Linked DNA regions of Neurospora crassa OR74A. The protein of the gene in region 1 purifies or fractionates together with the protein of each later gene. This does not show direct contact. Links are inferred from orthologs where the notes say so. Each region holds a gene or a part of one and is shown on either strand. Other genes may lie near its edges. The genes, in order: hsp78, NCU00395 and acp-1.

Region 1 (3,600 bases):
GGTGCACACATTCTACATGCCCCTACGTCCAAAAGTTACTAGCATTAAGCCCTTGAACAGTTAAGAAATATTCAATAAACTATTGCTAAGCAAACACGATATAATCTATCAACTGTTGAAACCAGCAACCTTCTCGGACCACCTTGATACTCCCACCCGCCCATAACGCACCGGACAATCGGTAATGGTGACGAGGAAAGACTACACTAGGCTCCGTAGGGTTGCCAAATTCCAACTTCAGATGGGCTGCTCCATTGGACAAGCACTCGGCATGCGCAAAGATACAACAACTACGATTCATGAGTTAGCTCAAGAGCTGCGAAAAAGAAGCAATATTCCAAGTTGAATGAGATGCCAAAAGGGTCAGAGTCGCATAAATGCTGGTTTCGTCGTCATCTGCAGAGGTCTTAAGTCTGCTTGGTAACACGGACCAATTCGATCATCACGGGATGGGCGTGGGAGTACCGGTAACGGAGGAGTAGGGAAGGAGAATATCAAACAAGGTGCTAGAACTTACACTAATGACAGACACCGACGCGGCGTACTTCTGGCATTGCCAGCTTTTAGCAATTTGGAGCCATTCTCTCTGATGTCTCCCACAATGGCGCTGTTCAAACGCGGCGGTTGCACACGAAGAACCAAAACGGGGAGAATTTCACACAGCGAAAAATTTCCTGGCCATTAAATACAGACAGTGCACAGACCAGGCACAGGAACCCACCGAACTGACCGAAGACTCCATCGTGAAGACGGGACCTACATGGAAGCTCCGATAAGATAAGGAGCTAAGTACTGCCCTGTATGTAGGTAGGTACCTAAGCTCTCCCCCAGCTTCACGGCGTCAGTGCCACTGGAAGTTGCGAGAGCTTTCGACCTCCATCCATGTCAACGGTCAGTGGCACTACGTCAGGCCATATAAACCAGAGACATACCCTTCGTTTCAAAGTACTCTATAATGATTCAAGTTGGATTTTAGACTAGTCGTTCCCCTGAAATAAAACACGTACTCAAGTCTCAAAATGCAAACAAGGCGCCAATTGCTATCAACTGCCACTCGGCGCATCAGTGAGGCGTCGAGGGCCTCTCTCTCGCGAACCACCCGCCAGTTTCCCCGGGCACCGGCGCTGGGCGTAACCGTACCGGCACTCAATGCCACTCATCTAGCCAGCTCTCTTCGTCTTCTTCCCACAATAGCGACTCGATCGTATGCCAACGGCAGACCACGCCCCCCAGGCGGTACCCATCGCATGAACCTCGGGGGTGAGGACGAGAAACCAGCATTGGAACAATACGGTATCGACTTAACAGCAAAAGCACGAGAGGGAAAGCTCGATCCGGTCATCGGCAGAGCGGCGGAAATCCAGAGAACCATCCAAATCCTGTCACGGAGAACGAAGAACAACCCGGTGCTCATTGGATGCGCCGGTGTCGGCAAGACAGCCATTCTTGAAGGCCTTGCGCTGGAGATTGTGAAGGGCGCGGTGCCTGAAAGTATCAAGAACAGGAGAGTCATCAGTCTCGATCTCGGATCTCTTATTGCAGGAGCCAAGTTTAGGGGTGATTTTGAGGAGCGGCTGAAGAAGGTCCTGGGCGAAGTGCAAGAAGCCAACGGAGAGGTTATCCTGTTCATCGATGAGCTCCATACTCTCCTTGGCCTCGGAAAGGCCGAAGGCTCCATTGATGCGTCGAACCTCTTGAAGCCAGCTCTTTCTAGAGGTGAGCTTCAGTGCTGTGGTGCAACCACCATGACTGAATACCGTCAGATCGAGAAGGATGTTGCTCTCGCTCGCCGGTTCCAGCCCATCATCGTCAGCGAGCCGACAGTGGAGGATACCATTAGTATTCTGCGCGGTATCAAGGAGAAGTATGAAGTTCACCATGGCGTCCGTATCACTGACGGAGCACTGGTTGCTGCCGCTACCTATTCCAACCGTTACATCACCGACCGTTTCCTTCCCGATAAGGCCATCGACTTGATGGACGAAGCCGCCAGCTCGCTTCGCCTACAGCAAGAAAGCAAGCCCGACGATATCCAGCGCTTGGACCAGAAGATCATGACCATTCAGATTGAGCTGGAAAGTTTACGAAAGGAGAAGGACGTTGCCAGCGTCGAGCGCCGCGAGAAGCTCGAGGCTGACCTGAAGAAGTATCAAGATGAAGTCGCCGTACTGACGGAAAGGTGGCTGAAGGAAAAGGCCGAAATCGACAGCATCAAGCAAACCCAGGCAGAGCTCGACAGAGCCCGCATTGAGTTGGAGCAAGCACAGCGAACCGGAAACTTTGCCAGGGCCTCGGAATTGAGATTTGGCGTCATTCCAAACCTGGAAAAGAAGCTACCCAAGGACGGCGAAAGACCTACCCGTGATCTCTCTCTCATCCATGACTCGGTCACCGCTGACGACATTGCCAACGTCGTCTCCAGGATCACTGGCATTCCCATCTCCAAGTTGTCCAGCGGCCACACGGAGAGACTGATTCACATGGAAGACATCCTCCGCGAGTCTGTCCGCGGTCAAGACGAGGCCCTGAAGGCGGTTGCCGACGCAGTGCGAATGCAAAGAGCCGGCTTGAGCGGCGAGAACCGCCCACTGGCCTCCTTTTTCTTCCTCGGACCCACCGGCGTCGGCAAGACAGAGCTGTGCAAGAAGCTCGCAGGCTTCCTCTTCTCGACCGAGACCGCCGTTGTTCGCTTTGACATGAGCGAGTTCCAAGAAAAGCACACCATCTCGCGCCTGATCGGTGCTCCCTCCGGCTACGTCGGCTACGAAGACGCCGGCCAGCTGACCGAGGCCGTCCGCCGCAAGCCCTACGCCGTCATCCTTCTCGACGAGTTCGAAAAGGCGCACAGAGACATCTCGGCCCTGCTCCTTCAGGTCCTCGATGAGGGCTACCTGACCGACGCCCAGGGCCACAAGGTTGACTTCAAGAACACCATCATCGTGCTCACCTCCAACCTCGGTGCCGACATCCTGGTTGGAGCCAACCCCATGGTCCCCTACAAGGAGACGGAAGACGGTGACATCCACCCAGACGTCAAGCAGGCCGTCATGGACGTCGTCGCATCCCAGTACCCGCCCGAGTTCCTTAACCGCATCGACTCCTTTATCATCTTCAAGCGTCTCGCTATGGAGGCGCTCAGGGACATTGTTGACATCCGCCTGAAGGAGCTCCAGGAGCGACTCAACGATCGCCGCATCACCCTCGACGTTCCCGAAGAGGTCCGCCAGTGGCTGGCTGAGAGGGGATATGATCCCAAGTTTGGCGCGAGGCCGCTCAACAGGCTCATCACCACCGAGATTGGAAATGGGCTTGCGGATAAGATCATTCGTGGACAGATCAAGTCGGGCGATAAGGCGGTGGTGGAAATCAAGGAGGACAGGAGCGGACTGAATGTCTACGCGGAGCAGCAGGAGCAGCCTCCGGCTGCCGAGGAGGCTGAGGCTGAGGCTTAGACTGCTCTTGAGGCATGAAGTGGCCCGCTGCTGCTAATCTGATCCCAGGTTGATGGCGAGCAGTTGTATCTTTATTGTATCTCTCATTTGTTACTGGTTCTCCTCTTATGTTACATTGCATAGTTTATGGTTCGGGAAACAGGACGTT
Region 2 (3,824 bases), on another chromosome or scaffold:
TTCTTCTCGTGCTTGGCCCGTAGGATCTTGGTCCGCGTCCGTGTAGTCCAGTTCCAACGCAGCGAAAACGGGGTTTGCGTAACCAACGTCAAGGGCAACAAGAGACAGCACCAACACGCCTGGCTTGTGGGCTTCCAGTGGTGACGAGATGGTAAGCTCGGCCTGTGAGTTTCGGTTGAGAACATAGACCAGCTTGTTCTTTTCGAGTGCCGAAATGAGGCATGCTCTTCCCTTTGGATCTGCGGCTAAGTACTGGCCGGGGATGACTCGGCGGACGCCCGATTTGCCGAAAGTCTCGAGGTGGATGCGCTGAAACTTGTTCGTCTTGGGGAGATACTCGATAATCGTAATGCGGCCCGAATCAGTGGCGAGGATAATGTAGTCTGGGTGGCACAGGGTTTTAGCACAATCCCGCTACCGATTTGAATGAGTCTCTCAAGTCCCCAGAAGACTCGTAGGCCTGGGTGCATGGTGCGTGACCATACGTGTGGCCCCTCTACCCAGAAGCACCTGGGGAACGGATCCAGAATCACTATATTGCCCAACACAGGAGGTGGCGGGGAGGTTACTCACCCTTGTGGCTGCCGGCCAGACGGAACGACGCGATGGCGCGTACGATGCCGAAGATGTCATGAGACAACAGGGTGTTGACCTTGCCCTGACGGGGATCAGGCTGAAGGAGGGTTAGACGCGATCCAGACGCCGTAAGAATCTGCTGTTCCTTGGTTCCCGAGAACTGACCAAGCAGAGCCTGCGTGACAGCGGTGGGTGGCTGGATGGTCAAGGAATACAGGAACATGTTCGACGTAGTCGCCATGGCTGCAACTGGGCGCAGACAGCCGGCGCGGCTCTGCTTTCTCGAGGTTGTTTTTGCAAGTGGGTAGGACTCGGTTGTGCTCTGTCAATGCTGCCGTCGTTATGTTGAGAAGACCAATGCGCGAAAGTCAGCCAGATTGTCGAAAATCTAGAGTTGAATATCGAGTAGATGATTGTAACACGGCAAAAAAAAATGAAACACGGTCCAGTGTTCTGGCACTCTGGCGAGGTAGATGGAGTCGGTTGCCGTCGATGGTATTTCTGGCCAATTGGTGCAGTCCAGTCACTCAGGTTGCAGCGGTACGTCGGACTCGGTCCACGGTAGGTCGTAGACGCCGCCCACTCATCTTCCCGCCTCGCGACTGTGGCTTGCTCGTAGCTCTCTGACCCGCATACGTAACGTCAGACGGAGCTTACCTAGGCACAATTGTGGCTGGTGAAGCAAGAACAAAGTGGGTCATTCGATGGACGGGACCCGCCTAGGCACTTAGGCACAGTAGAGGTAGGTAGCGAGTCGGGTCGGTGGGAGAGGACCCCGGATTGCTGGGAGCTGCTGCCAAAAAGTCAATTGGAAAGTCGCATCGAGTCCCGGCGATCCAGATTCCCGATCGAACATCATCCGACCTCTTGAACTCCCAATGGCCCTCCCAGCAGACCGCGCCGTGCGTCCGGCCTTGTCCAAGCTTTGCTCGCAATGCTCGACTTTCACAGCTAGACAGAGCAGGCAAAGTGCTGCGTTTTTGCAGTCAGCCCAGCAACGCTCCGTCAGCTCCATCCGAGGGGCACAGAGCTCTTCCTCGTCTTCGACGCAAGTCGGCGGCATCACCAGAACCATTTCGCGTCCGATCCAGGCTTCGATCACAAGCAAGCTTCCTTCCGTTGCTGCCCAGTCCAGAACCAAGGCCAGCAGCTCGACATCGTTTGCCACCAACGAGGATCTGGCCGGTAGTGGTATCCCCTCGAAGCCGATTCTCGAGCAGGACAACCTCTTCCACTCCTTCACCAACTCGCCCATCCCCAAGATCCGCCAGCGCGCGGCCTTCATAAGACAGCACGCCAGCTGCCCCCACCATAGCCACCGCCCAGGGCAGTTCTCCGAGACCAACCGCCAAGTCGATACCGAGTCTGGCTCCCAGCCGCCGAAGCACGTCGATTTCGAGTGCCCTGACTGTGGCATCCCGGTATATTGCAGCGAGCAGCATTGGATGGACGACTATGAGAAACATCTCGAGATATGCGACACTCTGCGGCAGATCAATGAAGATGACCATGACCTCCATTCAGGCCGCCACTTCTACGAGTTCAACTACGCCGGTCCGCAAATGGATGATGCCATGGTCAACATGACCAACTGGGACACGTTCATGTATACCCGTCAGTTCGAAGCTGTCAACGATGACCGGTGCATGAGACAGGCGACTAGGTTGTTGACCTATCCTCTCACGATCGGCAGCGTTCTTCACGAGTTGAGCCCGTACCACATCCGGAATCGCCTCACGGTCGAGGGCTTAAAGAGTTTGACGGCACTTCGCTATACCCTGCATCCTCCCAAAACTGGAGGCAACGAGTCTATCAAGGGTCTTCGGCCTGAGGCGCCCCCCGTGCGTGTCTTTATTCTCGGTGCTCGCGCTGAGTCGTCGCTGCCTAGAGATGCTTGGGTGCAGTTGGCCCATCTCTTCCCCCTGTCGAGACTCCATCTGATTTTCATCGGACCCGAGAGCATGATGAACCGCGATGACGAATTTCCCCTCCCGCCTCGTACTCCCGAGAATCCTTACGGTGCGGTTGTGGAGGATCGCGTATGGCCTACCATGAAGATCAGCACCATTGTGGATTATTACCATACTATCCACAAGACGGGTTATTTCGCTCCTCACGATCCTTACTTCGACTGCTTCGTCCTCTTCCACCCTGGTTTGGGCCACCCGGCAAGCTCCCACGAATGGGAGGAAACGCTGCCTATGCTTCTCGAGACCAAAGCTCCTATCATTGCTACGGGCTACACGCAGGCTGACATGGAGCGTGATGTCGAGTGGGTCAACAAGAAGGCCAAGGGTGAATTCGACATTCTCATGGAGCCTGGCGAGAACATCTTCCGCAGTCTCCGGTGGGATCTGAATGATCTTGACCCTCAGGACGTCAGTGCCGGTAACTGGGGTGTGTGGGCCTTCCGCGGAAAGAGGTTGGTGCTCTCTTGATTTTTTTCCCCCGCACAACTAGATACGGTTCGAGAGCTAACAGAGTTTGTTTTAGGTACGAGGCTACCGTCAAAGACAACGTCATTGCTGTATAGATGAGCCATGCGTATGCTGGTCGTTGCATCCTGTAAGATGTAGTAGGTGTTGGCAACCGGGCTGTTAGGAGCCCAGACTGTATAATAGGAATATCGAACAAACGCATTGTCACGACCATATCGGCTTTTTACACTTCAAGACTTTGTGGTATCTTTTCCGTTTCTAACGGTACGGGCTGGATGTTACGGATGTCGGATCCAAGGTGTGTGTTCAAAATCTTTTGGACTGCACAGTCTGATAATCTCGTAGTTGTGGGCCTAGGGAGGCACTGATCTGCAACGGTCAGGCTCGGGCCGCATGCAGCAAGTGCCTTGTGTCACGGCAGTCTGCTGTGGCAAGGGTGATGACAGCTTGAGCCTCATCGACGACAGACGGTTTTTTTTTTTCAAGCACTTTTTGTCCGTCTCACGCAACACCTTGCACCGCGCAGTAAATTTCGGTCAACGTTTGTCAAGCGAAGTGCAACGATAACAAACTTCAGGCGTGGAGATTCCTAACCTGCCAGCAGCAGTGTGTATCCTTGGTAAGAAACGAAAACTACCCACATGCTGGAAGATGACTCGCACCGACTTGACTAGAGTTAAAGGAATTTAAAAGCGGTCGAGGATGCGGTGCCGCCTTAGCTGCGTAAGTCAAAGGTGTGTGCTTTGTTGACATTCATTCAGGGGAAGCTCGACGACTTCAAGGGGTGATCGGTTCCATGCTACGGGCAAC
Region 3 (3,824 bases), on another chromosome or scaffold:
CGCTCCTCCGTCACCACGACGATCAACAGCTACCTAACGACTGCGCAAACCCATACCACCATATTTACTGACACCTCTATTCCAGGTACACAATCTATTACCCCTTCGAAAAGGGTCCCATCTCCCCCCGCTTCCGCGGCGAGCACGCCCTTCGTCGTTACCCGTCGGGCGAAGAACGCTGCATCGCCTGCAAGCTCTGCGAGGCCGTCTGCCCTGCTCAGGCCATCACCATCGAAGCTGAAGAGCGTGCCGATGGAAGCAGAAGGACGACCCGCTACGATATCGACATGACCAAGTGCATTTACTGCGGATTCTGCCAGGAGAGCTGTCCCGTGGATGCGATTGTGGAGAGTCCCAATGCGGAGTACGCAACGGAGACGAGGGAGGAGTTGTTGTATAACAAGGGTGAGTTCTTTTCTGGGGGATGCCGTGATAACCTGGTGCTGGCTGGAGATAGGTTCTTGCTGTCGGGGGGCCAGGAAAATATGACATGTGCTGACAACAGATACAGAAAAGCTACTCTCTAACGGAGACAAGTGGGAGCCTGAGCTTGCGGCTGCTATTCGCGCCGATTCACCTTACAGATAAAGGGGTTGTGGCTTGAAGACCGGATAACAGGACGGACAATGAAGACAGAGATTCTTTTTTTCGTTGTTGCTATGCTAGAGTTTCGGAACCAGCAGTTTCGGACGGGTTGCGGTATCAACAGGACGCACCATTGTGTTATAGAAGGCAGGCAGGCAGGCAGGCGGACAGGCAAAAGAAGGCTGTAGATACATTTGTGAATTGCGTCCCTCATCCAACTTCTTGTCTTTTTGAAAGTCATCTCGCCAGGGAAGATCCTATATGCGGCCAAAGGGACGCATCAAGAAACCTAAAGATGCTTGAAAGGCTGAATGTACAATTAGTGTACGGTACCATCTGTAAGATACAAGCTGTATCGTGATGAACTCCATCCCATCGTATCCATCAACCGGGATTACCCGTCTAACAGACGAGTGGAGTGATCCTGCCCGTGGGGTGTTAGTGGAGTATCTGCTTGACACATTTCTCCGCAGTGTACAAGACGGTACCTGAGCGACCTGCACGTGACTCGGCTGACGAGTAGCAGAACGAGCTGAAGCTTCCATGGCTGCAGTTGCGGGGGAGCATCGAGGTTGTACGTACCAAGGTACCTCCACACGCTGAAGCTCCAGAGTCAGAGGCGGGTTTGTTAGCTTCGTTGGCCGCCGCCGCCCGCAGTTGCCCGCACCCGCTTCCCGCGCCCCCGGCGTACCATAGGCAGTAGGCGAGAAATTTATCATCATCATCGCTGATTCCAGCCAACCACCGCCCAGAAATCCGCTTCCAGCCAGAGAAACCCGCAACAACCTCGTCCGAGAACCACCGAGTAGTAGCGTCACACTCATTTTCGGCCACAGCCTTTCCTGTCACCACCACCGACCCTCAAACACCCGACCGACCCGCGCAATTGACACTTTCCGCGACAGCCCACCCAAACAAAACAAAAAATGTTCCGCACCGCCGCCCTCACTGCCGCCCGCGTGGCCCGTCCCGCCGTCGCCTCCGCCGTCCGCGCTGGTGTTGCCCGTCCTGCTTTTGTCCAGGCCGTCCCCAAGGTCGCTGCCTTCCAGGCTGTCCGGTTTTACAGCGCCGGTGGTCATCTCAAGAAGGATGAGGTCTTTAGCAGGATTGCGCAGGTGTTGAGTGGATTTGACAAGGTGCGTTTTACATCACAAGAGACCTACCCGACACGACATGCATACAAACTTCGAGCAGGAGGATGAGGAGGAGGAGCAGAAGAAAGGAAGGAGATAAGAAAGAGGTGTGAAGAGGCAGAGGGATACGAGTGGTCTAGGGACATACGCTACGCGAAGACAAGAGGAGAGAGCGTGCGGGGGAGCATCATCATCGCAAGCAAACCAGCCGGACAACAGAACACAAACGGAGGAAGACCAAAAAGATGCGAAGAGCATATCAAGGCTGCGCAGACGCGACAAAACGAGATGGAATACGATGAAGAGCACTGCGTGCTCCACACGCTGCGCCATGGTCGGATTTATCGGGAACTTGGGAGCTCTTCGAATGGGTCTGCCCTGCCGGCTGGGCTGGTTCTGCTCCGATGATGATGCTCTCCCCTCGCTTTTTTGCCCTCCTCCTCTTGCTATCTTGCTGGTCAACTTCTTGTCTCTTGCTCTTCTTTCTTCCTTACCTCGGCTGGATCTCCCCTCTCCTCCAGCCTCTTCTTCAGAAGCCACAACAGTCCCGTGTTCGCAACCTTTTTCCAGGCCCAAGCTAACATCTACTTTCCAGGTCAACGACCCCAAGAACGTAAGTACAGACGCAAACACCAACATTTCCTCCTCACCGTCACGGAGACGAACTATGATGTGATTTTTGGTCATGATGGGTCAATCCCAGTGCCCTGGTGCTCCCGGCCTGACAGTCTGGAAGGAGAGACGAGACGGGCAAACCGCAAGAATAGATGCAATGGAACGAGACCAAAGATACAGGGATGAGAGATTCTGACACAAGTTTGCGCATCACAGATCACCGAGACCGCCCACTTCGCCAACGACCTCGGTCTTGACAGCTTGGACACCGTTGAGGTTGTTATGGCTATTGAGGAGGTATGTTGCTCCCTTTTTTTTTCTTTTTATTCCGGGCCCTTGTCATATTCCCTTTTCGGCCCAAGCTCAGCCTCTTATCACAATCACCCTTCAACCCAAACACAGTCATAGCACATGGACGCCAAACACGATGCTAACAAACCTACCCGCAACAGGAGTTCTCCATCGAGATCCCCGACAAGGACGCCGACCAGATCCACTCGGTCGACAAGGCCGTCGAGTACATCCTCAGCCAGCCCGATGCCAACTAAAAAAAGTCCTCTGTTTCGTTCCTTGTTCGAGCGTTTTAGAAACCCCACTACTTGCGCAAATATAAAGCATACTTCTTCTCCCTACCTACCCACCTTACCTTTTCACCTCTATCTTTATCCTTAACTAGGTCGATTCGAAACATATCTTTGTCATTGTTTGGGATTCGATTCGATCTGTGTACCATACGAAAACTTAGAACCTGAATGAAAGAAGAGATGACGAATGGAATGGAGCATCGTGATGGGTACGGGCTAGATGTGAATTGTGGGCAGGTCGGACTTGGTCTTGATGTTGTTATCATTGTCAGAGTGGTTAGTCTGGGTTGGTCAACGCGGCGACACGTTGCAATGTTTGGTGGTCACTAAAGTGGTATTGTGGCAGGCTCAATATAGCGTTGGTGTCAACTCTTGTGCTGTTGCGTTGTGTTTTGTTTGTCGCCTATATCCGTACCTACACACTACTTACATACCCCCCCCCCCCCCCTTTCAGGTAAAGAGAACAATCATGACTGGAGCGCACTCAACTTGAAGGCCTGGGTTTATATGTCTTCCTGTCTGATCACTGCTCAGTTCAACAAACACAGACCAGTACCTGAATCGAGCGAAGTTGGCGAACCAGGAGAAACCATCTGACTGGGTATCTAGATGTATCTACCTTTAAACTGAATAGATACGTGGTATTTCTCAAGAGAAAATGTCAACTTTGTTGCGTGACCAAGTGAAGAAGATGTGACCGACGAGAGATCCTTGATACTACGACGGAGTATGTCTGGTCCTTTAAATGTCCCACTTCAATATTTAGATCGCGGCATGAAGATACCTACCTTAAGGTATGCATGTATTCACCACCACCTCAGAAACTTGCCCTCAAGATCACGTAAAGCCAGAATTGTTCGGTACCTACCTCAAGCTAAAACTGGGCTCCGTACCAACCGATATTCTT

Evidence for each region.
Region 2: the proteins of hsp78 (region 1) and NCU00395 purify together in Saccharomyces cerevisiae (affinity purification with mass spectrometry, with the first as the bait; 3 studies listed by BioGRID). This does not show direct contact. The link is inferred for Neurospora crassa OR74A from reciprocal best matches to the Saccharomyces cerevisiae genes HSP78 and MSS51.
Region 3: the proteins of hsp78 (region 1) and acp-1 purify together in Saccharomyces cerevisiae (affinity purification with mass spectrometry; 3 studies listed by BioGRID, with this or other methods). This does not show direct contact. The link is inferred for Neurospora crassa OR74A from reciprocal best matches to the Saccharomyces cerevisiae genes HSP78 and ACP1.

The regions. Positions count from the first base shown.
Region 1 is NC_026501.1:2,990,264-2,993,863, reverse strand, and holds the start of hsp78 (heat shock protein 78), read left to right. Parts: upstream 1-845; 5' UTR 846-1,019; coding exon 1,020-3,452; 3' UTR 3,453-3,600. UniProt on the Saccharomyces cerevisiae protein: Required, in concert with mitochondrial Hsp70 (SSC1), for the dissociation, resolubilization and refolding of aggregates of damaged proteins in the mitochondrial matrix after heat stress.
Region 2 is NC_026503.1:3,705,773-3,709,596, reverse strand, and holds NCU00395 (mRNA processing protein), read left to right. Parts: upstream 1-1,321; 5' UTR 1,322-1,454; coding exon 1,455-2,998; intron 2,999-3,069; coding exon 3,070-3,109; 3' UTR 3,110-3,309; downstream 3,310-3,824. Other genes in the region: NCU00396 (pre-mRNA-splicing factor rse-1), read right to left, coding at 1-383, 574-817. UniProt on the Saccharomyces cerevisiae protein: Has a dual role in the assembly of cytochrome oxidase subunit 1 (COX1). It has a regulative function on COX1 synthesis, acting as a translational activator specific for the COX1 mRNA, and it also binds to newly synthesized COX1 protein.
Region 3 is NC_026506.1:4,098,850-4,102,673, forward strand, and holds acp-1 (acp-1), read left to right. Parts: upstream 1-1,175; 5' UTR 1,176-1,511; coding exon 1,512-1,721; intron 1,722-2,313; coding exon 2,314-2,331; intron 2,332-2,549; coding exon 2,550-2,630; intron 2,631-2,785; coding exon 2,786-2,881; 3' UTR 2,882-3,345; downstream 3,346-3,824. Other genes in the region: nuo21.3c (NADH-quinone oxidoreductase chain I), read left to right, coding at 86-405, 512-588. UniProt on the Saccharomyces cerevisiae protein: Carrier of the growing fatty acid chain in fatty acid biosynthesis. May be involved in the synthesis of very-long-chain fatty acids.